7 linked regions of the Mus musculus genome follow. The protein of the gene in region 5 interacts with the protein of the main gene of each other region in a pairwise test. Links are inferred from orthologs where the notes say so. Each region holds a gene or a part of one and is shown on either strand. Other genes may lie near its edges. The genes, in order: 9330159F19Rik, Tceanc, Pak7, Meox2, Card9, Cdca7l and Tasor2.

Region 1 (3,802 bases), on a different chromosome or scaffold from region 5:
ACACATTTTCCATGGGCACAGACACATTGTCACTAGCTTTCAGAACACTGGTCCCACTGTCAACTTCTGATAGGTAAGCTTTCTGAGCAGTGGAGATATCACAGGAATTGAGATTGTCAGGCGATTTTGTATAGATGTCACTTTGCTGTATTGCTTGACAACTTCTGTCTGTTCTAAAAACAGTTCTGTTAAACTCGTCAATCTTTGCAGCCAGCTTTTCATTCCTTGGAGTTGGTTCACAATTGCAGTCGTAAATTCTAACTGGGTCCCTCTGTGTCACTGAGGGAAGAAAGTCATTTTTCACATGAAGATCAAGATGCAATTTCGTAGGGTTATCTGGAAATACCTTTTCAAATTTTGCTCCACTGGAGGTAAAACTGGTTTTTTGAGACGGCCTGGAAGGGCTCTCTCTTGTACCTAATATAGTGTCACATGACCACAAATTAAGTCCAGTGTCTTTGTTACCTGGAAGATTTCTATCTATTTTGACTTCTGGTGTCCAAGAGGAAAACATGGTACTATCTTTCAAACTCTTGCCTTCTTGTGGAAACAACGGAGACTGCCTCAAGAGGAAATGAGGATTGTTATCTGTTTTGTCTTGAATCTCATGGGCCACCCACCTGTGGTATAAATGTTCCTTCAGTCTTTCTTGGGCTTGTTCAGAATATGAGCTGGGGAGATTTCGAGAGGTACTTCTTGGAGGGGGAGTTGGCGGAGTTTCGCCTCTTTGTAAACCAGTTGTACCAATTCCACAGTTGTTCATAGAATTGCTTTGGAGTCCATAGGCACAGCTCAGATTCTTTTTCTGCATTTCTTTCTCCAAATTGGTTGGAAGAATGCCCTGACCTTTGCTGATCAAGTGGTCCTGAGGAGGCACAGGGATTGCCTTTGGCATTTCCTGGAGAACAGGATCTGATTTCATCCTAAACATAAGTCAAGGTGCATTAGTGACAATTTTCTTTTCAAAATGAGCTTTGTGATATGTGATATATAAGTAATGCTATGTGATATATAAGTGATGCTGTATAGAAATACTACGATATATAGGTGATGTGGTTATGTAACACACACACACACACACACACACACACACACACACACATTCTAAATCCACTTACTGCAAGTCCTCCTTATTGTAGGATAAAGTTGTCAGTGTTACATTCATGGATCTAACCCAAATTTTATTCACCAAATTTTATCATCCCTCATTTTCCCTATAATCTGAAAGTTATGCTAGACTCAAACTAGACAATGTAGTCCTTGAGTTTCTGCTCTTGACATTCCCATTTCTAGGCTTTCTTCTGCTATATAGCTTTTCTTCCCCTTTCCCTATGCAACTTCTATTCCCTACTCATAATTTCTCTTTAGACTTTCTCCTTGGGATATAAATAACATTATCATGAGTTCTAGGTAACTCCAAATGCAATGTGCATTTGAACTTTAAAGGAAAATAAGATTATATTTTAGTAACCAAAGAAATGAGCTCTGATAAAGTGTGCCTACTGAGCAAAGAAAGTGATAATGAATGACACAGAAATACTAGACTGCAGCAAATCTTAGAACAGTCTCTTTAAATCACACATTGAGGCTCTGAAATGCTTTCTGGAGGCCATAGGGATGACTGTGAACACTTTACATTTCAATGTTTTTGGCTTTTTTTTTTTTTTGGAGAATTTCAAACAACATAATTTGCTCATATTCTTTGATCTTCCCTCAACTCCCCTCCCAGATCTTCCCTATCTCCCTACTCACCCAACTTCATGTTCTGTTTTCACCATGAGAACTTTGAACTAATTTGATTTGTAAATGAAAGATATCAAGTCTCTGTATAAAACACAAACAGAGCAACAATATGGACTAACAAATCAGAAAATCACATAAGTAAAATAAGTCATACTGTACAACTTATAAAAAGCTTCTATGACAACTTATAATGATGTACAATAAGCACATGCCAACAAATGACAACAGGAAGGCTCAATGGGCAGAGAGGGGGCAGTGCCCAGTGGCTAACAAACTCTACTGCAAGTCAGCACAGAAATTCGCGATTTCCAGACAGCTAAATAATAATAAGGAACCTCACTCTAAGAGAATATCAGATTTCTCAATGAGCTAATTATTGATAAAGAATAATACATATTTAGTATGCACATAATTCTAAATTATTATTTTTTTAACTTAGCTAGAATTTAGTTTAAGCTTTCATAGTGATTCTGACCTAATACAAGAGATTGGGCCATGTAGACATATAATGTGTTATTTTGAAATGTACATTTGCTTATGTCATATCCACATCACTGTTGAGAAATAAATGACCCAGCTTTAAAGTGCTTAAATAGAACATCTCAAATTGTTCAAACACCACATTGTTAAAGCTGTCACAGTTTAAGCCAATTTAACTGGGTTTGTCTATTTGTATATTCCCCCTCTGGTCAAAACTCTGATGGAGAAAGAACTTCAGTAGAGGATACACAGTCATTTTGTACAGACTGTCTACTTTGCCTAAACACTGAAAGAATACAATACACTATTCCTTATTTTTGTTTTTTTTTCTTTTTCAAGACAGTGTTTCTCTGTATAGTCCTGGCTGTCCCGAAACTCACTTTGTAGACCAGGCTGGCCTCGTACTCAGAAATCCGCCTGCCTCTGCCTCCCGAGTGCTGGGATTAAAGGCGTGCGCCACCGCACCGGCTCAATACAATATTCCTAATACTTAAGTTATGAAAAGTACTGGAAGATGACTTTTAAGGATCATGAGCTAAGATATACATGATGAGTCAGTGTAAATTCATAAAATAAAACCAGAATTCTTTTCTATTCTCTGGTCTACAGAGATCATATGTGTTAGCCAGCCTACCTTCTGTGGTTAGAATGCTTTTGGATTTCCTCTTGAAAGGTGCACAATTCTTCACTAACTTTTGCAAGTTCTTCAAGAGCCTTCATAGCATAGCACATAAAAGAGAGCTTTTGTTAGCGTGCTGAAATGCTTCTTTAGAAATAGCTCCCGGCTGACCCCATCTTACTTACTGTGTTAAGGGCGACAGAAAAATCTTTGCTCTCCTTAGAAGTGTTCTCACCAGCCCAGGTCTCACATGCCTTCCTGTCTGTGGCCAAAGGATTCCAAAACTCCACTTTGGTTTCTGTGTGTATGTTTTGTTTTGGAGACCCTTGACTTTCTTCCCCAAGGAAATTCCTTTCTGTTTTCTTTTCCTTTTCTGGATCATCTCGGTAATTCAGCACTCTTAATTTGCATTGTGCCGAGTTGAGGTGATTTGGGGGAAATTCCATTTTATCTTGATCACGGCAAAGATCAATGACCTTAGAATATTCATTCATGTTCATCTTCCTCTGAAGCTTTACTTCCTGGCAAAGCTGTAAAAATTAAAAATTAAAAACTTATTTTTCCTAATTTACTTGAGCAATGAATTCTCTTAAAGGCATTCTCACTTTGTAGCCCTGGGTAGCATAGAACAAATTCTGAAGTCCAGAGTGGCTTCAAACTCTTAAAGATCTACCTGCCTGTGTGACTTGGAAATAAAGCTGTGTGCCAGTATTCGCAGCTTTGATCAATATTCCTAATACTAAGCAAATCATTTGAGTTCTCTCTGCAATATTACAGTGTACTACCATTGGTGTTAATGCTTGTGTATATAGGCAGTGTCTCTAAAATAGGAATTAGCCAGAAAAGTTTTGGGGAACCATAAACCATAAAGACTAATTTTAGTAAGGCAATGCATGGACATTACATTCTATTTTTCTGATGAGAAATCAACTCATTGTCAAATAAAGTAAGTCTGGATCT
Region 2 (4,602 bases), on a different chromosome or scaffold from region 5:
TCTGTTGCTGGGATAAACACAGTGGTCAAATACAACTCAGGGAGGAAAGGATTTATTTCATCTGACAGGCTACAGTCCATAATTGAAGGAACTCAGGGCAGGAACTGGAAGCAGGAACCATGGAGGAATGCTACTTACTGCCTTGCTCCCAAGTACACATCAACTACCCTTTTGTATACAGCCCAGGCCTAAGTACTAAGGATAATATGGCCTTCCCACAGAGGGCTGAGCCCGCCTACATTAATTAGAAATAGAGAAAAATGCCACACAGATGTGTACAATTTTTCAATTGAGACTCCTTCTTTCCAGGTGTGTCAAGTTGACAAGCAAGACCTTGCAGTTTTGTAAATCAATTATTTCCGAGAACTTCAACACCAAATGGTGTTACTTTCAGAGTGATAAACCATAGCAAAAAACAAAAAAAAAAAAAAACAAAAAAAAACCAAAAACTTCTAGACTGGGCCTAGTGATACACACCCATAGTATCAGCACTTGGAGAGCAAGAAGATTATCCTAGTTTGAGGACAGCCTGGACTACATAGTTGTAGACCAGGCTAGACTACAGTGTGAGAATCTTGTGTTTAAACCAAACCAAACCCAAACCAAGATTGCTTTGTAATCATACCCTAATACTAACCGTTCAAAACAGAAAAATAATCAGGCATCCCTTATCCTGATCAGTGTGAGTTCCTTGTCCTCCCTCTGCTGAGGTAAAATCTCTTACATTCATGACCAGATCACCCTGCTGTATCCCTGCTATGAACAGATCCAGTACACAACACTGAGGGGTTGCTTCCTTAAATCTTTTCCTGAATTGTTTTGGCATTGGAGGTCAAAGGAGTCTGCCACATTTTCTAGTTCAATTATCACTGTGGTTTTAATCCTTGAAGGCAGACCATGTTCACACATACACTCAGGTTTCTTGTAACTAATTACTGAATGGTTACTACTTCCTTTCATTCTTGTGATGCATGTTATATGCTTGTTGGACTAATTACTGTTAGGCATGACAGTAATTATGGCTTGCCTTTTTGCTGCCTGGTTTGTTAGTTGAGAGAGTCTTACTATGTAACCCTAGCTGGTCAGAAACTTATGGACCTTCTCCCATCTCTGCCTCTGGAGCGCTAGTATTATATGCCACCAGGTTTAGCCATTTTTATATTGATTTAAAAAAAAAAACCCAACCATTTATTATTACAGACCATCACTGTTAGCCATTTATATTTTATTTGATTGTTCTTATGGAGGGTTTTACATTTGTTTATTTTTATTTATTTAGGAAGGCGAGTACCGGGTCCAGCCTGTTTAGTTTTGCCCCAGGCTGTCCTCGAACTCGGGATCCTCCGGTCTCTGTACTTTAGTCTTCAGCCTTTGCCTACTGGGGTCCATCACCACAGCCAGCCTGTTTTTATTTTTGTCCCATCTGTTTTACTGGTTTGACGGAAACTAAAAAGAGTAAGCGCATCAACAAACGTTGCCACTGAAACGCAGCAGCCGGGTTAGTTTCACTTCGGGCCTTAGCTCCTCTCTCAAGGGACCACTCTGCGAGGCCCGCGGCCGCTCTGCGCAGGCGCCAAGTCCAAAGCACCTTAGCGTCCAATCCCACGCCCACGTTGGCTCGCCGGAACCTTAGGACTGGTGCAGGCTCTGTCGTCCGGCCCCAAGAAACGGAAGTTCCCTCCAGGAGGAGGCGGCACCGCCCACTGGAGGGCGGCGCCTGCGCTTCTGGGCGGGCGGTGCTGCGGCCGCTAGGGCAGTGACCGAGCATCTCCGATGGCGGCGTTCCGCCATTTCCGTTACCTCGGCCCCCGCGGAAGGGCTAACTCCCGGGTCCAGTGGAAGGCAATCCCGGCTCGCAGGGGCGCTCTGGTGCTCCCCGTGCCCAGGCTGCTCGAAGGTTGATTTCCTCCTCCCTTTAGGTGCTGTCATTGGAGCGGGCCGGAAGGCGCGCCGCCATGGCTGTACGGCCTCAGGGCCGTCCCCCGGGGTGGATTTCTGCAGGCTTTGTTTAGTAGTCAACCCCACCCACAGGAATCTCTCTGGGCGGGCCGGTTCCTCTCCCTGTCCCTTCCCCCGGGATCCTAACGTGGCTGCCTAAAAACAACGCCCCGCCAGCGTCTCGTGTCCTAGCCCCCCAGCCCCCCATGGCCCGTCCATTCCCTTCTGAGCCAGGGCCTTGAAGCTTGACCGATAAGTTTAGCCTGGAGCTAGAAAATTTCTCTTTTTTTCCCCTCCTGGATGTTGAGAGAGATTTAAAGACTGCTGGTCTGTTCCCTAAGCCTCTGGAAAATTTCACAGTAACTTTCCTGTGCTTTTTCTTCACGTTTGGACGATTTTAGTGCAGATGTGTGTATGCCCTTCCTATAATTGCATATTCCCAGGCGTCTGCATGCATTCAGGCAACACATGGTAGGGCCGACTCTTGCTGTCACTATAAAAGGTTTTGTATGTGCACACACATTGTACACACACACACATATACATACTCATACACACACTGGTAAATGGTAAAATGTACACTCATATATGAACTACAACTGCCATGAAATGTGTCTGATCTGGATTGGAGTGTGTTCGAGTGTAAAGCACAGCAGACTTTTGTTTTTGAGAATTAACACAAAAAGGAATTAAAATACCCTTTTATCAGATTTTGAAAGGACAGTATTGGGGCGAAGCTTAGGTGTAGCTCAGTAGTAGAGCACATACTTTAATCTGCCTAAGGCCCTGGGTATGAACTCTGCCACTGCATTTTAAAGGAAAAATATTTTAGCTAAGTAAAACTAGAATTAATTCCAACAAATTTTAACATACTATCACACATTTAAAAAATATCTTTGTGGCTTGAAATCTTTATATGAGATAGCATTGCTCTACAAAGGGTGCTTTCAAACAGTACCCTGTGGCCAAACACAGACTGCCCACATTCTCTTTTGAAATACAGTCTCTTGTAGCCCTGGCTGGCCTCTTTCTGACCACACTGGCTTTATGAGGTGTGCATAGAGGGGGGTGGGCTTGAGGAGGGTGCAAACTCAGTGCCCTGTGCATGTTAGGTAAGTGCTCCACGAACTGAGCCTCATCTTCAGACCCCCTCCCTCAACACACACACTTTAAAAAATAATTTGTGCTAATCAACTTAGATGTCTTCCTTAATTACTGTCCTCCCCCCTCCCTTTTTTGAGACAGGGTCTGACACTGAACCTGAAGCTCACCAGTTCAGCTAGACTGCCTGGCCAGTGAACTCCAAAGACTGACCTGTCTCTCCCTTCCCGTTGCTGGAATTACAGGTGTGCACCATAAGCCTGGCTTTTTATGTAGATGCTGGGGATCAAGACTCAGGTCCTCATTGCACAGCAAGCAGTTTACCACCTGAGCCATCTTCCCAGTTCCAGCCTGCCTTATTAGGTTTAATTGTATATAGATGTGTGGGTATATGCATGTGAGTGCCAGTCCTACAGGAGGCCAAAGGCATCAGGTTTTCCTAAAGCTGGGTTATAAGCACTTGTGAACTACCCAGTATAGGGTGGGAACTAAAGGGGATGTAGGGGAAGGAGGCAGGAGGGAGGATAGCCCAAGCCCGGCCAGCGTTCCTCCTATGCTCTGGGCAGGCAGACGCCGTAAGGCTGCCAGAAGCTTTCCACTCAGCCCGGGTGGGCATTTAAGCCACTGACCCCACTTGACAGGGGGTGGGGTGGGGTGGACAAGGGGCAGCCCCTGAAACCAGGGCCCCCAGGACAACACCCTGTTGCCCCGGCGTTATGGGAGCAAGGGCTGAAGGAAGAGAGGTAAGGGCTGAAGGAAGAGAGGTTCCCACACAGGTGAGAGTAAGTGTAGGGGGCCTTGATGAGCAGAGACAGTCTATGGTTTTAGAGCTTTATTGTAGAAAGGCAGGGGGAAAGAGAAAAGAAAGGCTAGAGAATAAGAGTAAGAGAGTGAGAGGAGAGGAGAGAAGAGTAAGGGGAGTAAGAGGAAGAGAGCGAGGTGGAGCCAAACAGCTCCTCTTATGGTTTGCTGTAATCTTTACTATTGCTAGGTAACTGGGAGGAGTTTAGCCTGAAGGTCAGAAGCTTGGGACATTGTCTACATGACTACTAGCCATGCTTCTCCTGTGGGGGTTGAGGGGAAAGTAACTTCGACAGGAGCCAGGGTCCAGGAGACACGAGGGAACGCCTTCCATCCCATGTAGGTGGGAATTACCACCACTGGGTCCCGGGGTTCAACATCTAGCCTCAACTGGAAACCAGGCTGTCTGTGCATAGCCCAGTGCCCCACAGTGTAGGTGCTGGAAACTGAACCTGGCTCCTCTAAGATAGCAGTACACAACTGCTTAACCATCACTCCAGCCCCATTCAGTATTTGCTATCTGTTTGTTCTGCTGCAAAAGTAATAGAGTTAAATAGTCCCTGCACCAGAAGTCTAAAGTATTTCCTATCTGTCCTTTTACAGAAAGTATTTGCTGGCCTCCTGTCCTGGAAAAATAGCTGGTATGTAGATATTAAATCTTTTTTAATGTTTTTTTTTTTAAGACAAAGTCTCACTATAAAGCTCATGTTGTCTAGACTTGACAAACATCCTGCCTTAGCCTCCAGAGTGCTAGGATATATG
Region 3 (4,410 bases), about 110 Mb from region 5:
TTAGATAGAGGAGTGACAGAGTGAATAAGAAGAAAATACATTATGTGCATATAAGAAAGTCTCAAGGAGCTAATAAAATGTATATCTATAAATAAAAATAAATATATTAAAAAGAAGAAAAGGTGTAGGATTTTCATTTTTTTGCTGTTATGTTGTAGGTGTTGTTGATGATGATGTGTTTTGACTTAGTAATATAGCCCAAAAGGGAGAAGACGTATGAAATTCCTCAGCACGTATAGAAAGCCTAAGTCCCACTTTGTTTCAGTTTTCATGTAAGTGACTCATGGTGACGTGTCTATCACCCTTCCCTTCACTGTCACACTTGGGAACACAAAATTCAGATAAGTTAGTTACATTAAATATCCCATGCCAGCAGGGTTTTTGAACCCATACTATTCTTCATATTCTGAAACTTGATGGCATAGTATTGATCCTATCATTGTTATTAGAAAAGTTAGTAAAGTAAGTTAAATTTTCTCTCCCCTAAACTCAATGACAACCCTGAACTTGTCCATGTGACCTACTTTACAAGTCTGATCTTTGCAGTTGTAATTGAATTAAGACAAGGCTATAGTTAGCTCTAAATGATATAGGAACAGTGTCCTTACATAAAGACTGAAACATGGACAGGAGAACAGACACAGAGAGGAGAACACATGGACATGAAGGTAGAAACAGAATAACGTGATTGGGGTAAGGTATGTCTAAGACTATAAGAATCACCTTCTCCTAAGAGCATCAGAGGATTGCCATGCTAACACTGAGATATTAGACAGAAAATACCCAGATCTGCATCAATAAATTTCTACTTCTTTAAGCTACCAAGTTGGGGGTGTATGGCTATGTCAGTGCTAAGAAATAAAACAATTTGGAGTATTTCAGTAAAAGTAAATTGAATTTGACTTGCATAGCAAATACATATAACATGGGTTCCAAACACATACATGTCCTTCTCAAAGAGATTTCCCCATGCCCAGTTTCTTTGTATTATTATTAATGTCTACATCTATCCATTTATGTGGGCTTTGCTTTGTGAATCACAAGTCTTTGTTGCTGATACATTAAATCACTTCCACAAAATCCCACACCTAAATACGGAGGAACCAGAGTTCAAATTTAGCTTTATCTCATCACTAAAATGACACTGTATTCCAGAACATCTGTCTCTGGTGCCTGTCCATTGCAGCATATTCTGAGGATGTAGGAAAGGCATTGGCAACCTCGGCTTTCAATGCCTACAATCAAAACTCACGTTTGTTAATTAAATGATAAGTTGCAAGGACTGAGTACAATCAATCTCTTATTCACAGAGGAACACGAAGTTTATTCTACTACAAGTATTGTCAATGAACTTGCCATTAGCTTCTACAGCTTTCATTAGAAGTTCTGCTTTGCACACGTGTATTCAAAGTCAAGGTGTTATCAGATTGGACACTTATAGCTTTACTCTACTTAAATTCATTTCCCTCCTGCAGTCTCTGTTTCATTATCACAATACTGACTCATTCTTGCCACCTAAGGAGATCATAAGAATAAATAGTGTAAGTGCAGAGGAAAGTATCTAAACTTCATATTCACAGACAGATGCCCAGCCTGAAAAGATAAAACAGGGGATGAAGGTGTGTTCTAAATTTACCTTTCCTCCCTCTCAGGGGGCTATGCTGCTAATCATAACAGATACAACTGTAAGGTGTCACATCTGTTGTTGCAGAATGTCAACTTTAAGAAGGCTTGTGTAGGAGGGACTTCTTCAGGGAGTAATGTGTCCATCTGTAAATTAAAGATGCTGCCTTTACACCAAATGCCACAAGAGGGTCTCTGATGTTTTGTGAAGTACCTATTTCCCCAGAAGTGTATCCAGTTTTCCAAGTCGTTATCAATTATTGGCCAAGACATTTTTTTCTTTACTACTCTAATATTTAAAAGATCTGTTCAGTTCTTTGAAAGGTTAGGGCTCCCTTAATTGAGATATGAATGCTGGCAAATTAACTTCTACCCTATCACAATGGAAAGCTCCAGACACACTCGGTTTCAAAACGGATGCTCACATTTGTGCCCTAAACTGGACACTTGACAGTCCTGAGACTTTCCAAGTTTATCCTCTAGGAGACTGACATTGTACAGAATTTTAACCAGAGTTTGGAAGTGATATTCTCTTCCACATTCTGTCCACCAATGTTCACAAGCAGAAGTTCTTTCCCAATCCATTGCAACCCACTAAGCGAACAGAGACAAACAACAAAGGAAAACACAGTCCCATAAAGGTTCCGCTATTGCATCTGGTGGTCCACACCTGCTAAAAGACAAAAACCATATGGGAACCCTGCCCTGGCAATGCATCCAGCACTCCCTGGGAGCAGCAGGCACTGTCGTATCACCGGCAGGGCGTGCGCGAGTGCATACACAAAGAACTGCTGCTGGGCTTGCTAGCCTTTCGGGGTACCAGCAGACTCCTAGAGCTGGCATCCAGGGTGATCTCCTACGCCCTCCATCCTAGCATAAGAGCGCTATCCTTTATTTGACCGGTGAAGAGCCCAAGCTGGATGATATCGCAAAGATTGGGGGTTGGGGAGTGGGCGGACCCTGGATCCCTTGCCCATTCTCAGAGGTCCCCAGCCTTTGGCATCTCCTAGGAGATGCACAATCAATTGTGCTGTCATAGAGGTCTCCTTTCGCATCCTCTCTAGGCAAAGCCAGATGCCCGGTGTAGCAACCGTGCGCATCTTGGCAAGCGCCCCTTCTGGAGCCGCTACCCATAAGCCGACCTGCCCGGTGCTCCTGCCTACCTGGTGGCTGGCTGTCAGCAGAGAAGTCGCGGTACCTCATCTGCTTCTCCGCTGCTGCTACATCTGTTATATCGCTCCAAGCGCCATGTTCCTGCTCTCCACGGGCGCACGCCAGGGAACTACTACGGCTGGGAAGGGGCAAGGGGGGCGGGGGCTAGAGGAGGGGGTGGGGGCAGAGTCAAAGCTTTTTACTCTCCTCCCAAACCTCTCCCAGCTACTGAGCATGCCCAAGCCGCCTGGCTTCGCCCCTAGGAGGACTGTCCGCTGAGACCACTCAGCTGCTCCGGGTTTTAGGAGCAGCCCGCTGTAGGAAAGCTGTAGCAATTGAGGGGGGTGAAAGGGGGAGTGTGGAGGGAGTGTCTGCACGCCCGAGCTGGAGAAAACAGCCAATCGGATCACACTTTCCTTCTACCATCCCCCTGCGGGCTACTCCCGCATACCCCTCCCTGAACATCCCAGTTTGTCCAAATTTTCTATAGGACCTTTGCAAAGCCGCACTACATCAGTATGCTAGCTAGTCTCTTTAGCATCACCTGGTCCTGTGCTTCGCAAACTTTAATGAGCCTTTGATTTAAAATACAGATTTGGATTCAACTGCCTGGTCCTGAAAGTCCCCGTGCCATTCGGCTGGTCCTCTGAAAGGTCAGGAGGTGCAAGAATCCAGAAACATCTTCTATAACCTCTAATTGGTCATGGAGTCTTTAATCAGCAATGGACTTATCAGCCTAAGGAGTTACCTTCAGCTTTTGATGATAGCAGCGGTTCAAGGGAGGATGTCCCCTGGGATGTCATGCCTTTCCTGGAAAGAGGCTTTGTAGGGCACACACTGAAGACAGCATAAAACCATTAGTTTGATCTAGAATTAGGAGTTTCGGAGACGATGGGCTCTTGGATCAATTCACAATCGCTTTGATACTTGAGACTAGGAAACTCGTGCTCAGTCAGTTGACCTGTTGTTGACCTGTTGTCCAATTCAAGCCTGAACCAGTCTATCCTGACTGTCTACCTGTCTTCTCTGAGCCTGGGACAAAACCTGAGAGGTTCGATGTAATGTCAAGGCTGGGCTTGACAGTTGAGACTGACTGGTCTTTTGAGAGCAAAAGACCACAGGAGGTATCGGTAATATTGAGATTAGTCACTGCCCACATGAAACCAATCAATTCACAAAACCAACCAAGAGACTTTAATCTTGGTTTTGAGAGAGCCACATCCTTCTTCATCCTCAGAGATCTCTAGATTGTCCTTATGAGAATATAGTGTCTGATCCTATAACTGAATAAGTCGGTTATAAAACAGGGCCAGTTTGCTAGTGAATAGTAGATGCTTATCATCTCCTGTCCCCGTGGCTTATCTGTTCACACACTACTTTCACTGAAGTAACTTATATATCAAAACAGAATCATGGCAGGAGCTGGTGCTAAAGATATTGCCACAGCTGTTAAGAACTCATGTTGCCCATCCAGAGGTCCCAGGTTCAGTTGTATAGGGTGGGTCCGAGCTGTACGTGACTCTGACTCCAGTGGATCTCACACACTCCTCTGGTATCAGTGGTGCCTTTTTCCACCTGGTACACAAAGAAGCATCCAGACACATATATACACATAAAAATAAATCTTTAAAAAAT
Region 4 (4,593 bases), on a different chromosome or scaffold from region 5:
TGGTGTTTAAATGAGTTTCACAACACAAAAACAAGCCTCTCTTTGCTATGTGCTTATTTGCCCCTGATAAAAGTGATGGAAACCAGTGTTAGTCAATATTAAAACCATTTTTGTTAAAATAAACTAAGGAAGTCAGTTTTTAGTCTCACTCTCCCTGTTTCCCCAACCAAAAATAACTTGTGCCTGAAAAAAAAAAAAAATTCCTTCGTGTGCGCAAATAATCTTTAGGGCATTGGTTCAGCTAAGAAGCAGCGCAGTTTCCCCCTTGCGGAAAGAAAACACGGAATCCGAGCTTCTGGTCCTCCCTGAAGTAGATAGCAACCTGCCAAAGCAATCCATGCATTTCTGCTCATAAATGCCCAATCTGGGGAAACCCAGTGCGTTCTGATGCCTTCTTAGGAACCTTTTTGGTATCTTAGGATTTCACATACAGTTAGAGATAACCAGTAAACAGAATAACAGCGATGACCGAGTTCTTAGACATAACTAATCATGATGAAGCATCATTAATCGTTCACCCAGGACCTGAAAAATTACAGGTTCAATAGTGAGGCTGGGAAGCAAGGAGTCACCCCACACCGAGGTCAAGAAAAATTTCTATCATCTTTCAACACATTACAAAATACACAGCCCTTACTGCCCTACACTGCAGAACACCTTGCCTAAAATGTTTAAAATGCTATTATTTTTCAATTCTTCAAACTATTGCCTAGAATTATATGTTCTCTCGAGACACTAGCACAGAAAACGTAATATATGTAAACATTTTACTAGTTAAGTGACGTCTTTCTAAATCTGTATCCAGGTTGCCTTGTAACTACATAGAAGATTCAATAAAGAAAAAAAGAAGGAAAGAAAGAAAGGAAAGAAGGAAGGAAGGAAGGAAGGAAGGAGAGAGAGAGAGAGAGAGAGAGAGAGAGAGAGAGAGAGAGAGAGAGAGAGAGAACATTTACAATGAGGAATGTATTTAAGGGCTTTGTTGTGTTTCCTGGAAATTTTTAGTTTCTCTGTGCTGTCAGGATGCACTGGCTATTGGACTTCCAGGCCCCTGAATTCTTCTGGGAGGCTCCCCTTTTGTAGGACTGCTCAAGTTACCCACACCTTCCCTGCATCTTCTTCCAGCACTGTCAGGACTGTTATCTGTCCACTTTCTCCACTGCATCTCAAAGCACTACTCAATTGATGAAGGCTTTTATTTTCCACAGTCGAAGTTCAAACATTTTGTTTTGGTTGGTTGGTTGATTTGGACTTTTTGCTTGTTTCCCGTCCCCGTCCCCCCCCCCCCCCCAAACCAGGTTAGCACCATATGAGTGTAATTACTATAAGAATACTCTTTATTCAAAGTTTTCAGAGGTATTCCTTAAACACTTCTAGATTACTAGATAATTACTTTTTCGCCAAATAAATAGAATGTTTGGGGAGGGGTTGTTTGTTTTTTAAATATCATTTTAAGAAAGGTGCTATTTAAGGAACTCTGAAAGCAAAAATATTAAAAAAAAAGTTTTAGGTTTCTGTTCTTTTTCTTTCTTTAATTTTTCCTTATCTTTTTCTTTCCTTTTCCGTTTTCTTCCTTTTTTCTTTTCCTCCTCTTCTTTTCTTTTCTTTTCTTTTCTTTTCTTTCCTTTTCTTTTTCTCGTATTTGGTCAAATCCAGTTAAAGTTCAAGGCATTGCGCAATAATTTGGAAACCCAGTTAAGGATAGGAAAAGTCGAGTTGTTCAGAGTTGGGAATTGGAAGGGAAAAGTCAAGGAAACCCGCATGCACGCACACACGCACGCAGGCATGCATGCCCAGCGGATGCAGCATCCCAATGGGCACACCCCTCCCAACCCGTGGAGGGACCCGCCACGCTCCCTTAACCGATTTTGCATAGTGTCACTTGCTCTTTCTTCACCACTTCTGGAAAACTGATTTGCGATCTTGGAGGGCTTTGAACGGCTGGATGTAGATATATTAACTTCAGTGAAACACGTGCTCCTGAATTACAGGACGGACGCTCCATGGATGAACTCGCCCACCAGAGCGAGGAAAGGCTAGCAGCTTCACAGTTTGTCTTTCTATGAGAAACATCCCACACCTCCCCGCATCTTCCTAGCCCAGAGCGCACTCTCCCCAGGGTTGCTTTGCCCGCACTCACCTGAGCTGTCGCTTTTCCTTTTGCTGCCACTTCTCTTCTCTACGTCTGCGGGTGACAGCGCTTGACGGCCATAATCCCCTGGTGCGCACGCGGCCCCGGTAGGGGTGCTGGAGCCCAGGCTAGATGAGTTGGAACACAGGACCGGAGGGCTGCTTCCCAGCTCCGGGGGCCCTCCCGAATCAGGCTGCAGGCACAGGCTGTGCCGGGCCGCGCTTGGTGGAGAGGACATCTGCGGGAGGTGCCAGTTGCTTTGCAGAGCCTGGTGCTGCTGCTGCTGGTGGTGGTGATGGTGATGGTGGTGGTGGTGGTGGTGCCCCCTGTGATGCTGGCTGGCAAACATGCCCTCCTCGTTGGGGTATCCCGCGATTATGCAAGACGAGGAAGATGTGGAGAGTTCGGGGTAGGACATGTGGTCAGATCTTCCATGGAGGGCCAGAGAAGACTGGGAGAAGGGGTGCAAGCCTTGCGCTGTGGCGTGGGGGCTGCGCAGGCAGCCAAAGAGGGGGTGTTCCATGGCATGCAAGTTTCGGCTTCCAAGCAGAAGACTTCACGGACGGTCCGAATGTCCACCAAGCGCTGTCACTTTTCACTGGAAATCCTAAGACTTTCCCCCACTCACTCCAAAAGTAAAAGCCGCGCGCGTTTGCATTTGAGCAGAGCCGGCTAATCCCAGTCCTGAGCCTTAGCGGCCAGTCTCCTGCACGTATAAACACTAGGACCTGGAGGAGCTTCCTTCGCAGCTGCTCAGATGTCAAGTGTGGGAGAGGTGGAAGCCAAAAGAAGGTGGTCCCAGAGAACTGCTTTCAGGGGGAAATGGCTCTGAGAGGTTATAAATAGAGTGTAATGTGAGCTGGGGGCTGGCTTAGGAGCCCAGCGCTGACCACATGCAAACTCCCTCCAAAACTCCCGCTCAGTCAGCGCCACCGTGCTCTCTCATTTCCAGTTCCCATTGCTGGCAGGACAGGAGCCGCTGCCCAACGCCCGCCCGTCGGGCCCTGGGAGCTTCCACCACAGCTAGTGGTGCTCCCAGAGCCTCAGTCGCTCCGGGCCACCGCAATCTGTCCCATAGGTTCCCATGGCCAGACGCAGAGGCACTCAGCTTCCCTAAGCCAGCACACAGTGTCTCTGAGTAGCTCACTGCTCTTGGAACCTAGATCTCTCAGCCTTGGTGGGGGTTGGGGTCACCTGCAGGAGCTCCCTGACTACTCCCTGACTTTGCAGACCACAGAGAACTTTCAAGAGAACTTTCAAGAGAAGAAGAGCCTAGTCTGTCGAGCTTTTCAAACTCAGAGGCCACTCACGGTTCCAGCGTAAACACATTAGGTTTATTCTCTTTTAGGTATCTGAGAATAGATTGTTAGAAAACCTAGAGCCAGGGCGGAGGTTGTAGAGCTGTGCACCAAGGCTAGCACAGTGCTACTCTGAGTGCAGAAAGGACAGATATACAATGGGGTGTGCGCGACACAGAGGTGGATGTAGGCTCTGGCGCCTTGGCGACACACAAGTGTTGCTCCAAGTGGTGTCCCCCTTCCTTCTTTTTCTGACCCTCTTCCCACCCCTACTTCTCTTTACCAGTCCAGTTCGCGAAATTTTCTCACCATTTGCTCACCGAGGAAATTGGGAGGGGGGGGGTCAAGAATAACCCGAAAAAATGTCAAATGAGCAAGTCTAACTTGCTCCCAGCTTCACCCTTCCTAGCTAGCTTAACCCTGCAGGAGCCAATTCACAGCCCGCTCCCATCCTTTGAGAAATGAAATCTCTCTTTAGCTCACAGAGCTAATGCTCCTTGCATACATTCCATTCCTCACCACCTTTCTGTTTTAAGCAGATAGCAAACTTAACATTCCCTCAGCGTGGACCCTGCTATCATGGTTCATTTCCCCCAGGTTTACAGCCTGTGCTCCTGGAAATGAACTAACTGCACACCTTGCCACCAGTGAATTTGTGAGAGCAGGGGCTGGGGTTGACACAGCAATTAGCTTGGGCGGCCACAGAATCTACTGGAAGTCCTGTCCTTAACCCACAACAAGCTTGGGAGAGTGGGCTGCAGGAAAGCCTGTTCCTATCTAGGAAGTGTCTGCCAAGGGGATGTCTGCAGTAGCCTAGGGTGTTCAGGACTTGGAGTGTGCCACTATGGTTAACTGCCATATGTTTATTGTCTGGGTGACCAGAAGATGATGGCCAAGTCTTTGAAATTGCTAATGGGATTAATGAGTACAGCAACCTGAACTAGACATCTGGTTTAAATTAGGAAAAGGTATTGATGAATTTTGGAGGAATGTCCCCAAGGCAGAACCCTTCTCTCTGCCGCTCCTTCTGCCATCTTCAGTCTGTTACCCTTTATTTTAAGAGGTTCTCCAGAAAAGGAACTTCCAAACAAACTTTAACATCCGTGTGAAAAGTCGAATTGTTTTGCACAACTTAGAGATGGGGTGGAGTGGGGGTTGATCAGGAAT
Region 5 (3,413 bases):
TTCTCTGTGGGAGGCCAGGAATGCTCCCTCTGTCCCCCCTAGTCTTCAAATGCACACTTACGGACAAGGACCAGCACGGGGTCTGCAGGTGACAACCGCAGGCTCCATCTGACACCGCATGGTCCCCAGATGCATCAGGGGAGTCTGGCCTGACGCAGCTGCTGATGACAGAGGTCATGAAGCTGCAGAAGAAGGTTCAGGACCTGACGGCCCTTCTGAGCTCCAAGGACGACTTCATCAAGGAGCTGAGGGTAAAGGACAGCCTACTGCGCAAGCACCAGGAGCGGGTGCAGCGGCTCAAGGAGGAGTGTGAGCTGAGCAGTGCGGAGCTGAAGCGCTGCAAGGACGAGAACTATGAGCTGGCCATGTGCCTGGCACATCTGAGTGAAGAGAAGGGCGCAGCACTCATGCGGAACCGTGACCTGCAGCTTGAGGTAATCACTTTCTCCACCTGCAGGGGGTGGCCTGGAGGAGGCTGCAGCTGACTGGGCCACCCACAGGTGGACCGGCTCAGGCACAGCCTCATGAAGGCCGAGGATGACTGCAAGGTGGAGCGCAAACACACACTGAAGCTCAGGCACGCCATGGAGCAGCGGCCTAGTCAGGAGCTGCTGTGGGAACTACAGCAGGAAAAGGACTTGCTGCAGGCCCGGGTGCAGGAGCTGCAGGTCTCTGTGCAGGTAGGGAGACCCACCAGTGCACATCAGGCCTCATGCCTGCAGGGGCTTGAAGCTGGGCACACCAGATGGTACAACTGCAGTGGCCGTGCCATTGTGGGCCTCCTCAGCCAGGCTTGTTGCCTTCTGACACCTCCAGGAGGGTAAGCTAGACAGGAATAGTCCATACATTCAAGTGCTGGAGGAGGACTGGCGTCAAGCACTGCAGGAACACCAGAAGCAGGTCAGCACCATCTTCTCCCTACGGAAGGACCTCCGCCAGGCTGAGACCCTCCGGGCCCGGGTGAGAGACCAGGGCAGACAAGCAATGCCCACTGGGATCCTGGATGGTGGGGTCTGGGACCTGGCTCACTGTCAATTCGTACAGTACACAGTAGTGCCGTGTCACCCTTTGGGCTTACAGTGTGACCAATGGTGGCTGAGGCCATGGTCTTAGACTAGGTTAGTCTTGGATTAGATTGGACTGGAACTCCAGTGCCTTCCTCATTATCCCAGACCTTGTGTGCCCTGGAGCTGTTGCTCTGAGTCCAGCCCAGGGGGAGGAGGAGGGAGGGGAGGGTGAGGCTGAGTGGTGCTTCCTGTAGTGCACGGAAGAAAAGGAGATGTTCGAGCTGCAGTGCCTGGCCTTGCGCAAGGATGCCAAGATGTACAAGGACCGTATCGAGGCTATCCTGCTGCAGATGGAGGAGGTCTCCATTGAGAGGGACCAGGTAGGTGCCACACTTGTGTTCAGAAACGGAGAACCAGGAGTGTTGGGGTATTGGTGCGGCAGACACTGGAGCAGTAGTCAAAGTGTTTTGTTTTGTTTTGTTTTTTTTATTTATGCTCAGGGTAACTTGGCAGTGTTGGAAGACAGAACCCGGGACTGCTTGTACAAATGCATCAAAGTCTACCTTATTCAAAGGAGGAGCTTATGCGGGAGGAGAACACAGCAGTCCCTGTGGTGGGGGTGGGGGTGGGGTAAGGAGGTGGGAGACTTCAGTAGGGAGAGGAAGCTGCTAGGTGCATAGGCTGTGGGTAGGGAGCATTTGGTACAAGAACCTGTGGTGGCTCCCGGGCAGAGGCAGTAGTAGCAACTCACACCTGCAATCCCAGCAGTTGGAGGTTGAGACAAAATAATTACTGTGAATTTAAGGGCAGCCTGATTTACCATGAATTCCAAGCCAGTTTGGGGTCCAATGTGAGACCCTGTCTCAAAAAGCCACCACTAACAATAACAAAAGCGGTAGCAGCTGAGCCATGTTTGGTAGTACATGGCAGTCCCAGCATGCTGGTCCCCGGATTTAGAGGTAAAGACAGGAGAGTCAGAGATTCAAGGCCAACCTCAGCTAACAGTAAATAGGAGGCCACCTTGGGATAATGAAACTGTCTTCCAAGAAACAAAAGAAAAAAACCTTTGTGTTCATTTAAGAACAGCCATGAATCCTGGTTTGTTTGTTTTTTTTTTTGTTTGTTTGTTTTTGTTTTGTTTTTTAATGTCAAGCTGCATCCAGAATTTATAAAATATGTCACATAGGTGGGACAGAAACACCCACTGGCTATCTGCTGGGGATGTAGGACTTCTCAGTTGGGCTTCCTATGAACTACTGAGCATTAATCACGGGTTTTTTTGGCTGCTTCTCTGAAGTGTTTTGTTTTGTTGTCTGAGACAGTGTCTCATGTAATCCAATCTTGCCTTCAACTCAATATATGTGCAAAGATGGCCTTAAACTATTGATCCCACTTCTGCCTCCCCAGTGCTAAGAATCTGGTCATTTCCAACTCCGCCCAGGGTTTGTTCATGTACACTGAGAGCCCTGACTGCTTTGAGAATCCCTCCAGTTCAGCAGTTCCAGCCATACACCAGGGTGGTTGATGTCCAGCCAGGACCTGAACTGCCAAATGAGAGCCAAGAGCATCAACCAGGTCCTTTGCTGAGGGTGTGCCCTCTGCTATTCCTACAGGCTATGGCCTCCAGGGAAGAGCTGCATGCACAGTGTACCCAAAGCTTTCAGGACAAAGATAAGCTTCGAAAGCTGGTTCGAGAGCTGGGTGAGAAGGCAGATGAGCTGCAGCTACAGCTGTTCCAGACGGAGAGCCGATTACTGGCCGCCGAGGGCAGACTCAAGCAGCAGCAATTGGACATGCTCATCCTGGTAGGCCTCTGTGTCTGCTGTCGCCAGGGTGGGCTGGGCAGTGAGAGAGCTGGGGAGGATGTGAAGTCAAGGCAGGATTCCAAGAGGAACCATCAGCCTGGAAGCAGCCCTATCACTAACCTGCCATGACTGCTGCCCTGCTTGTGGCCTCGGAAAATGCCTGGCCTTCCTAAATCCCAGTTTTCCTCATTAGAGCTCTTCATGGCGAAGTGACAGCCACAGATGTAACTCAAGGTTATCCACACCACTCCAATGACTGCAGCCTTGACCAAGGAGTAACCTTCAGGTGGCTTGGAGTGTAGTGTTAAGAAAGACATATTCTGGGCATATCTAGAAACATGTGCAGGGCCTCCCTAGAGGATGGAGCCTGGATGGGGCTCTTACCATGCCCTACACACCCCATACCCAGGTGCTTGGAACCCCTACAGCCCACTGACCAACTCCCTTTTCTGTGGCCACAGAGCTCTGACTTGGAAGACAGTTCACCCAGGAACTCCCAGGAGGTGAGTGTGGACATAGAGTGGTCCTTCCCTGGCCTTCAACCTCTACCTGACCTCACACTCATCTCCCACATGGTCCTGTCCCCTTAAACTGGGCTGTC
Region 6 (3,802 bases), on a different chromosome or scaffold from region 5:
TTTCCAATCCAGTACCAATCTTCTACAACATATGCCCCAGGGAGCCCTCGCCCCTGGGCAGGACTACTATGTTAGGTGGTCTGCGTTTTCCCCCTGGTACATTGGATCCTTGACCACACAGCTCAGAGCAAGACTTAGGAGGACAGCACAGGGACAGAAGGCGAGATGTCAGATTTTGAATGCCAGTGTGTTGGAGGTTACCAGTGATGCACACTTTCCTGAAGATGTCACTTACAAGCACTTTATCATAGACTTTATCACGCACAGTTATGGCAATGTTTTCCAAGTCTTCCTCAGTGATGTCTTTCACTGAGCGGAAAGAAGATATCCGATGACGTCTATACGTCTGGCATTTCCCCTGAAGAAAAAAACAAAATAAAACAGGAGTACCTGTCACACATCTACACACTGAAAATCAGAATGAAAATCTTAAACGTGCTTAGAGATGCAAAGTCTAATGAGTGTCCTTTGTCTGTATGGTCATTTACTGGGTTCCTGCCCCAACCCACACTCCCTTGGGAGAGCAATACTGCATTGATGGAGGAGCTATAAACTTGGAGAAGACAAGGAAGTAAACAGCCTGCCCACATAGGGGGCAGCCCCCAAGTTCCTCCCTCTTCCCCAACAGCCACTCCTGAAGCAGACAAGGAGAAACTCTTGCATCTTTCAGAGTACACAACCACAAAGCTGGCTTGGCTTTGCTGGTAGAGTTGGATCAAAGCCAGGGCCTCCTGCATGCTGGGCAAGTCCCTGAGTCCCCCAAGCTCCTCAGGCTCATTTTAGACAAAGGACTCTTAAGTTATCTGCAGCTTAGCCAGCCCAAGGGTCTTCTCAACCCATGCTCTCACAGGAACATGGTGGAAACTCAAGTTTTCAACTGCTGGAAGCCTGCTGACTCAAGACTACACCAGAGCCAGCCCTAGCATAATGAAATACTTGCACTTGAGGCCCGTTTGCTTATTAGTCAGTAATTACCCCACTGATTGTCTTTCTTCTTCTGAAACTGTAAAGCTCTTCAGTAAGCTTGGTGGCTGAGAAGGTGAAGTTCTCCAGAGCAAACTTTTCAGGGGGTCGTGCACTCCGGGTTGGGTTCATGCGCCGTGTGATCTGTCCCTCTGAGAAGGCCCGTCGTGGTGTTCGCCTCCTCTAAAACCAAGAACACAGACATATGTAACTAGGTTCCCCTTAAACAGAAAGCTATGGGTTCTCAGAAGCAGGGCCAGTCTAAGAAACCAAGAGTTTCACTTACAGAAGCCGAAGGTGGTGTCCGAACAGGGAAGAAATCTGGCACCGAATTCAATTCCGCCAACAACTGAGCAAGCTAAGGTTCAGAAAGAAAGGGGGGGGGGGGTCTGACATCAGTCAAGGAGACAGTTCTGGGGCCAACACCTCTTAAATCTCTCTGAACTACCTATATAGCGTCCATAAATCTGTCTCATGTAAGACTTCACCTCCTGAGTAAGAGGAGGACACCATTCATTGTTCATCCAAGTCAACATCATACCCCTTCCTTATATACAGAAACAATAGAACACAACGAAGATATGTTTGTCTTGACACGTTTGGGGCCAGGAGCATCAGGTCCCAACTTCACCACTATCATAGCAGTGTGACCTGAAGCACATTTTACAAACCTTAAAATCAAACCCAGCATGTCCAATCAGCTGGGTGACCCTCAGAACTCCCAGATCAACCAAAACACTTGCTGGGGCTTAAGTCATGGTACATGCTGTAGTCTGAGCACCAGGATGCAGAGGCAAGAGGATTAGGATCAAGACAAGTCTGGTCTCCCTGCATCTATACCTCAAAAATTCCTACCTTCAGACATCTGTCACTATCGCCAAAGACCTAACACCAACCAACCAGGCTCTTTCCTCTGGATTTTCTTTTTAGATTCATGTAAACGTGAGACCACTAAGAACAAACACATACAGATAAACACAAACAGACAAGAGTGTTCTCTTAGGTGTAGGTCTGTGTATAAAGTATCACTATATTGTGCATTTTTTTAAAGGATGGCATTTAAAAAGCCACCAAAGAGGAGGAAAGAATTTATGACTGGTAGAATTTCTTTTTAATTTTGCCAGTGTAAAATTAGGAAGAATTACTTTCAATAACTGGGCTGAGGTTACTGTCCACACATAGAAAACCCAAATACATGTAACAAAGGTTGCTCTAGATTGTGCTAGGCTGAACTAACCACTAGCCAAGGCATAACTGAATTAGAACATGGCAGCGGCTGCTTCAATGGTAGCCATCTCTCATTCCTTCAGATGATGTCTCTGAAGGAACGGCTTTCAGACAGAAGCCACCACCTGCCCACCGTAATTCTCCCTGGGCTCAATGACAGCCCAGCTCCTCTTTTCTGCTGGGGACAGTGCAGCTGGTCAGCTTATCTATTCTCCAGTGCCTCTGCCAACTTAAACTTAGCCTGCTCAACCATGCACAGCAGGGATAAACGGTTCTTGAGTCTTTCCATCCCCAAACCAGAGCTAATCGTGTAACAAATGTGCCCAGGATATACTTTCTCTCCAGAGAGCAAAGCTGTGTCAGCAACCCTTGGGGCAGCTGGCTATGGTCCCAGCTGCTGCTGCAAGAGCATACCATAGCCTTGTTCTCTTTGATGTTCATGGCCCTTTTCAGCAGAGCATCCGAATTCTCTTGGCTCTCAGCTCTGGACTCATCCTCGGCATCAGAAGCAGAGTCCTCCTTTCCCTTGGGCTGTCTGGAGCTCTTCTTTCTTCTAAGATCCGTCTTACTGTCCAGCAAGTGTGAGCTATCTTTATCTGGTGTTCTTGCCAATTTTTTGGTGGGGAACTGAAAGGCTACCCGAAGACCGAAACTGCTTCTTCTTGTGGACCTGCCCCTTCTAGGTGCAGCCTCCTCTTCATCATCTTCCTCCGCATCATTCATCACAGGGTATGCTTTGTCACTGTCACTCAGCTCCGACTCCATGAGCTAAGGGACAAGGAGAAAGAAGGATAAAAACGATCTGTACCAACACTAGACCAGGCAACTGTGTTTAAAACTGTTCTAGGTGGGAATGCAGGTCAGAATTTGCTTCACCACACGTTCCTTCCTCACCAGATTCGGAGCAACAGAGCCAACGGATGATACATGGAAACCTCCAAGCTGTGAGTCACACACAGTGAACCCTGGTATTCTGTTCTAGTGATGGAAAGCTCATTAATACAATCTGTCCTCAATGCATTCTCTAACCAAATCTGAGTGGGCCTACGCTGAATTGTGTGTGTGTGTGTTGCAGTATATAGAATCTAAGGGGCTTTGGGAGCAATTTATTTTCCTTCACTAGAAACAAAAACTCCTTAACTAGGTATCACTGAGCTTAAAAACTACTAGTAGTTAAAGAAGTCACCCAGACATGAAACCCATCAAGTCTTGGAAGATCTTAGTGTCTTGCTGATGACAATCTAAGACATCTGAGAAAAAACACTGGGCACAGTGGGATGTCTGAGCAGGAGCATCGGCCCAGGCAGAGTGGGTGAGACAGCTGACTACGAGGACTTACATGCCCCAAGAGATGCCTGAGGAAAGGTGAGGGATAGGGAAAGCCATCATCACTACCAACTGGCCCTATGCAGGTATGTGTCCAAGGTTGTATAAAAGCTAATGACATCAAACAGCATAAACTAAACTCACCTTACCAGCAAAGGAAGTGGTAGTATCTACTTTCAGATAAATATTCTATTTTCCAGTTAGCATTAAACAGTTAACCTCTTTTAAAACATCTGCCTCATGGTATTTTTTTGAATCAGTTAAAAATATAAATTTAAAAAATTAT
Region 7 (3,802 bases), on a different chromosome or scaffold from region 5:
TTGACCATGGTTACATTAGTTTACAGTGACCACATTCTTACCTACCATTCAAATTTTTTTTAAGAGAAAAATTATATTCCAGGACTTTGATGATGTCACATAAAGGCAGTAAAATGTGAGTCAGCATATGAAGGCCTGATCACAGCACTCATTCAAAAAGCTGTGTATGTGGTCTGTGATCCAAACACTTGTGAATTCCTGGGGCTTGCTGACCAGCCATTCTAGTCAAATAGCTCTGGGATAGGTAGAAAACCCTATATCAATATGGTAGAGATCAATAGAAGACACCTGAATACCAACCTTGGTGCCCACATTCATTTTTACACAGAACTCACACACCAAATATCCTTTTCATTGATGATACACTGGAGGGAAGTAGGTAATAAATTCTGAAATGAAGGCATGTCTGTCATGGTAACATTTTGGGAAAAGTAATTTTTATACTAATTCAGATATATTCTACAAAGGGCTTAGTGATGCAGACAAAAACAAGGCAGCAAAAAACAAAATATGTAAAACAGAGGGAACAGAAGGGACAAGAACCCAGCTTGCAAGGATGACAGGCTGGTCAACATCACTGGACATAGGTTACTGTCAAGAGATGACTTTGGAGACACATGAAAGAACCATGCTAGGAAAGGACTCACTAATATTTTTTTAAAGGTATTAGCAGGGATCGTACAGATGGCCCAGCAGTTATAATACTCGGCTATTCTTTTTTTTGTTTGCTTCCTTGCTTTGTTTTTTGTTTTTTTGTTTTTTTTTTTTTGGGGGGGTTTTTTTCGAGAAAGGGTTTCTCTGTGCAGTCCTGGCTGTCCTGGAACTCACTCTGTGGACCAGGCTGGCCTCGAACTCAGAAATCTGCCTGCCTCTGCCTCCCAAGTGCTGGGATCAAAGGCGTGCGCCACCACACCCGGCTATACTTGGCTATTCTTGCAGAGGGCCTGGAGTTGGTTCCCAGCACCCACCCAGTAACTCATAACTGCCCACCGGCTTTTGAATGGTTTGAAAATAATGAAAATATTTCACCATGAGCCCACTGTTTATAATAAAGAGTAACATGTTTGTACAAAGGTACAATTTTCAAGTGAAGAAATGAACACATACTAAAATTAACTTGAGATTTATATGTGTTCAAGAGCACAATGTGTGTTGGGTGTGGTAGCAGTTGGCTGACTGAGATGGGAGAATTACAGATGGTTTGAAGCCTGACTCTCACAGCACAGAGTTCTATAAGACTTGGAAACATTCTGAATAACTCTGGCAAGTTGTGAACTATTCTTTAGTGTTGGGATGCAGGACTGTTTGTAAGATGAGGATCTGCAAACAGTGACAGATCAATCTTAAATATTTCAGTAGACTATTAAAAGAACTTGATTAAAAATTATATTGTCCCTTTTGCGTGATAATAAAATAGTCAGTTTGCCTGTTTGGGAGATCCAAAGCAGACAAAGTAATACATCACAAAGACAATAAACATTCTGACTGCACGTGGAGTATAGTTGGGGTGTCCAATGGCAAGCCGTAATCCTTCATGCAAAAGCATTACATAAGAGGCGTAAGGGAGGATGGGGCTAAGGAAAGTGCATTACCCTTTTATTCAGATATGGACAGCCAAGGAACAATTAACTCTTCAAGTTGGTTCTCATTACTGGTATGTTGCTAAAATTCTCGGTATATAGTAAACGTAACAGCATTATGTAAACACCTAGCAAACCTGTCCAGTCTCACTCCCTTGAATGTGAAACTTCATGTATGCGTACTATTTTGGACTTCTTTTTCTTTTTTTCTTTTTTTGGTTTTTCTAGACAGGGTTTCTCTGTATACCCCTGGCTGTCCTGGAACTCACTCTGTAGACCAGGCTGGCCTCAAACTTAGAAATTCGCCTGCCTCTGCCTCCCGAGTGCTGGGATTAAAGGCGTGCGCCACCACGCCTGGCTAAGGACTTTTTCTTTAAAGCAGCCTATGATATTTTATAAACTGCTTTTATCACTAAAATGAACTTCTTGCTTGGGCTGCTGAGATGGCTCAGTAAGAAAAGAGACCGGACACCACACCTAACAACCTGAGTTGGAGCCCCAGGACCCAGGTGGTAGGAGAGAACCAAATCCTGAAAGTTACCACCTGACCTCCACATGCAGTCCATGGCATGTGTGTGTGCATCCGTTTACATATATACACAAAAACACTAATAATTGAACTAAAAAGAGAAATCCAGGGGGCTGGAGAGGTGGCTCACAACCATCTGTAATGGGGTCTGATGGTAATGTAATGGGCCCTCTTCTGGTGTGTCTGAATACAGCCACACTGTACTTATATACATAAAATAAATTTTTAAAAAATCTTAAAAAAAAAAAACTGAAATCCAGTTCATAATTATGTGTGTGTTTATTTAGTAATAAGACCAGTAGCTATTTGCGCTACCTTAGAAATAGGATTTCCTTTTTTTAAACATATTGTTAAATATTTTTGTCTGCTTCGTATTGAGATGTGTTCCTAAGTAGCTGAGGCTGGCCTAGAACTCATAATTCTTCCTCAGTCTCCCAAGTGCCAAAAATATATACATCACTATGCCCAGCTGGTGGCTTGATTTTAATATATAAAAATAGTTGTACCTGGGCATAGTGGCACATACTTTTAATCCCAGCACTTGGAGGCATAGACAGCTGGATCTCTGAATTTGAGGCCAGCCTGGCCTACATAGTACATTCCAGGGCAGCCAAGGTTATAGAGAGAGACTTTTTGTCTCTAGAAACAAAAAGTTCTGTACAAGTATCCTTTTTAAATAACAGCTGTTTGTAAATTTTTCAGAGCATTCTAAAGAAAGGAGGCCATATAGAAATTGAACTTCTGGATTTCTGTCAAGCGTTTCACAGAGAAAATGAGACACTATTAGTTATCATTAAAAATGAAGACATCATTTCACATTTGCATCAAGTAAGTTTTGTGTTCTAGGCACTGACACTGTTCTGTAGTATCATAAGTCATCATTGCTATTCTGTGTAGAGGTATAGCCGACAGACTTCCATTGATCCTTTAGTGGGAAGATAATCCCTGAGAGTACAGGGTGGAACTCTATAGAATCATGCAGGTTCTGTAGGGCAGGTTAATAGTGTGTTAACTGAGGGAGAACTATGAAAAGAGGTACTTCATGTCTGACTGTAAGAAAATCATGCTTTGAAAGGACTTCTGTAATGTTTACCTGCTGGTTGACAAATAGTTGTTTGCCCAAGAAGCACTTTGTGGACAGTGGATAGGTACATATTTCTATTGTCAGTAGGCAGTGACATGAGCCTTGTGGGTTTGGCACCACAGGTAAGCTGGAAGCAGAGTGAGTTTGAATGACCTAGCTATTTATAGGTCCCCTGAACTTCAGTCACGTTCTTCTCTCATGAACCATTTCTAAAGTCCTCTTTTTAATTAATTTTGGTGAAGAAATGGCCACTAATGAGAAGGTCAGAACCACTCTTTGTTTCAAAGTTGTCGGTTAGTGATCTTGGCTGAAGATACCTTATTTTCAGCTGTTCAGGGTCATTGAAATCCATGGGAATGTTAATTGTTGCCTGCATGTGCCTTTCCTTATGGAAGTCCCTTTATGTCATAACAGATTCCTTCTCTACTGAAGCTAAAGCATTTCCCCAGTGTCGTCTTTGCTGGAGTGGACAGCCCTGAAGACATTGTAAATGAAACCTACCAAGAGCTGTTTCGATCAGGCGGCTTTGTGGTATCAGATGATGTCATACTAGAAAGTTTAACATTAGGTTAGTCTTTAATTTTGAAATCTAATTAGTTCAGTTTCTCT

What was found.
Region 1: the proteins of Card9 (region 5) and 9330159F19Rik interact in a two-hybrid assay, tested with the Homo sapiens proteins (2 studies listed by BioGRID and IntAct). The two-hybrid records come from large-scale screens. The link is inferred for Mus musculus from reciprocal best matches to the Homo sapiens genes CARD9 and KIAA0408.
Region 2: the proteins of Card9 (region 5) and Tceanc interact in binary tests that used the Homo sapiens proteins (3 or more experiments, as listed by UniProt). The two-hybrid records come from large-scale screens. The link is inferred for Mus musculus from reciprocal best matches to the Homo sapiens genes CARD9 and TCEANC.
Region 3: the proteins of Card9 (region 5) and Pak7 interact in binary tests that used the Homo sapiens proteins (3 or more experiments, as listed by UniProt). The two-hybrid records come from large-scale screens. The link is inferred for Mus musculus from reciprocal best matches to the Homo sapiens genes CARD9 and PAK5.
Region 4: the proteins of Card9 (region 5) and Meox2 interact in binary tests that used the Homo sapiens proteins (3 or more experiments, as listed by UniProt). The two-hybrid records come from large-scale screens. The link is inferred for Mus musculus from reciprocal best matches to the Homo sapiens genes CARD9 and MEOX2.
Region 6: the proteins of Card9 (region 5) and Cdca7l interact in binary tests that used the Homo sapiens proteins (3 or more experiments, as listed by UniProt). The link is inferred for Mus musculus from reciprocal best matches to the Homo sapiens genes CARD9 and CDCA7L.
Region 7: the proteins of Card9 (region 5) and Tasor2 interact in binary tests that used the Homo sapiens proteins (3 or more experiments, as listed by UniProt). The two-hybrid records come from large-scale screens. The link is inferred for Mus musculus from reciprocal best matches to the Homo sapiens genes CARD9 and TASOR2.

The regions. Positions count from the first base shown.
Region 1 is NC_000076.6:29,221,356-29,225,157, reverse strand, and holds part of 9330159F19Rik (uncharacterized protein KIAA0408 homolog), read right to left. Parts: intron 3,373-3,802; coding exon 3,028-3,372; intron 2,938-3,027; coding exon 2,858-2,937; intron 924-2,857; coding exon 1-923.
Region 2 is NC_000086.7:166,507,588-166,512,189, reverse strand, and holds the start of Tceanc (transcription elongation factor A N-terminal and central domain-containing protein), read left to right. Parts: upstream 1-1,711; 5' UTR 1,712-1,897; exon of another isoform or gene 1,898-3,050; intron 3,051-3,183; 5' UTR 3,184-3,284; intron 3,285-4,443; 5' UTR 4,444-4,481; intron 4,482-4,602.
Region 3 is NC_000068.7:136,384,868-136,389,277, forward strand, and holds the start of Pak7 (serine/threonine-protein kinase PAK 5), read right to left. Parts: upstream 3,101-4,410; 5' UTR 2,827-3,100; coding exon of another isoform or gene 2,787-2,826; intron 1-2,786.
Region 4 is NC_000078.6:37,106,889-37,111,481, reverse strand, and holds the start of Meox2 (homeobox protein MOX-2), read right to left. Parts: upstream 2,943-4,593; 5' UTR 2,652-2,942; coding exon 2,138-2,651; intron 1-2,137. UniProt on the Homo sapiens protein: Mesodermal transcription factor that plays a key role in somitogenesis and somitogenesis and limb muscle differentiation. Required during limb development for normal appendicular muscle formation and for the normal regulation of myogenic genes.
Region 5 is NC_000068.7:26,354,732-26,358,144, reverse strand, and holds part of Card9 (caspase recruitment domain-containing protein 9), read left to right. Parts: intron 1-61; exon of another isoform or gene 62-129; coding exon 130-434; intron 435-500; coding exon 501-680; intron 681-816; coding exon 817-960; intron 961-1,261; coding exon 1,262-1,387; intron 1,388-2,620; coding exon 2,621-2,812; intron 2,813-3,221; coding exon of another isoform or gene 3,222-3,248; exon of another isoform or gene 3,249-3,273; coding exon 3,274-3,315; intron 3,316-3,413. UniProt on the Homo sapiens protein: Adapter protein that plays a key role in innate immune response against fungi by forming signaling complexes downstream of C-type lectin receptors.
Region 6 is NC_000078.6:117,871,240-117,875,041, reverse strand, and holds part of Cdca7l (cell division cycle-associated 7-like protein), read right to left. Parts: intron 2,959-3,802; coding exon 2,605-2,958; intron 1,322-2,604; coding exon 1,250-1,321; intron 1,147-1,249; coding exon 976-1,146; intron 359-975; coding exon 236-358; intron 1-235. UniProt on the Homo sapiens protein: Plays a role in transcriptional regulation as a repressor that inhibits monoamine oxidase A (MAOA) activity and gene expression by binding to the promoter.
Region 7 is NC_000079.6:3,569,447-3,573,248, reverse strand, and holds part of Tasor2 (protein TASOR 2), read left to right. Parts: intron 1-2,811; coding exon 2,812-2,937; intron 2,938-3,607; coding exon 3,608-3,761; intron 3,762-3,802.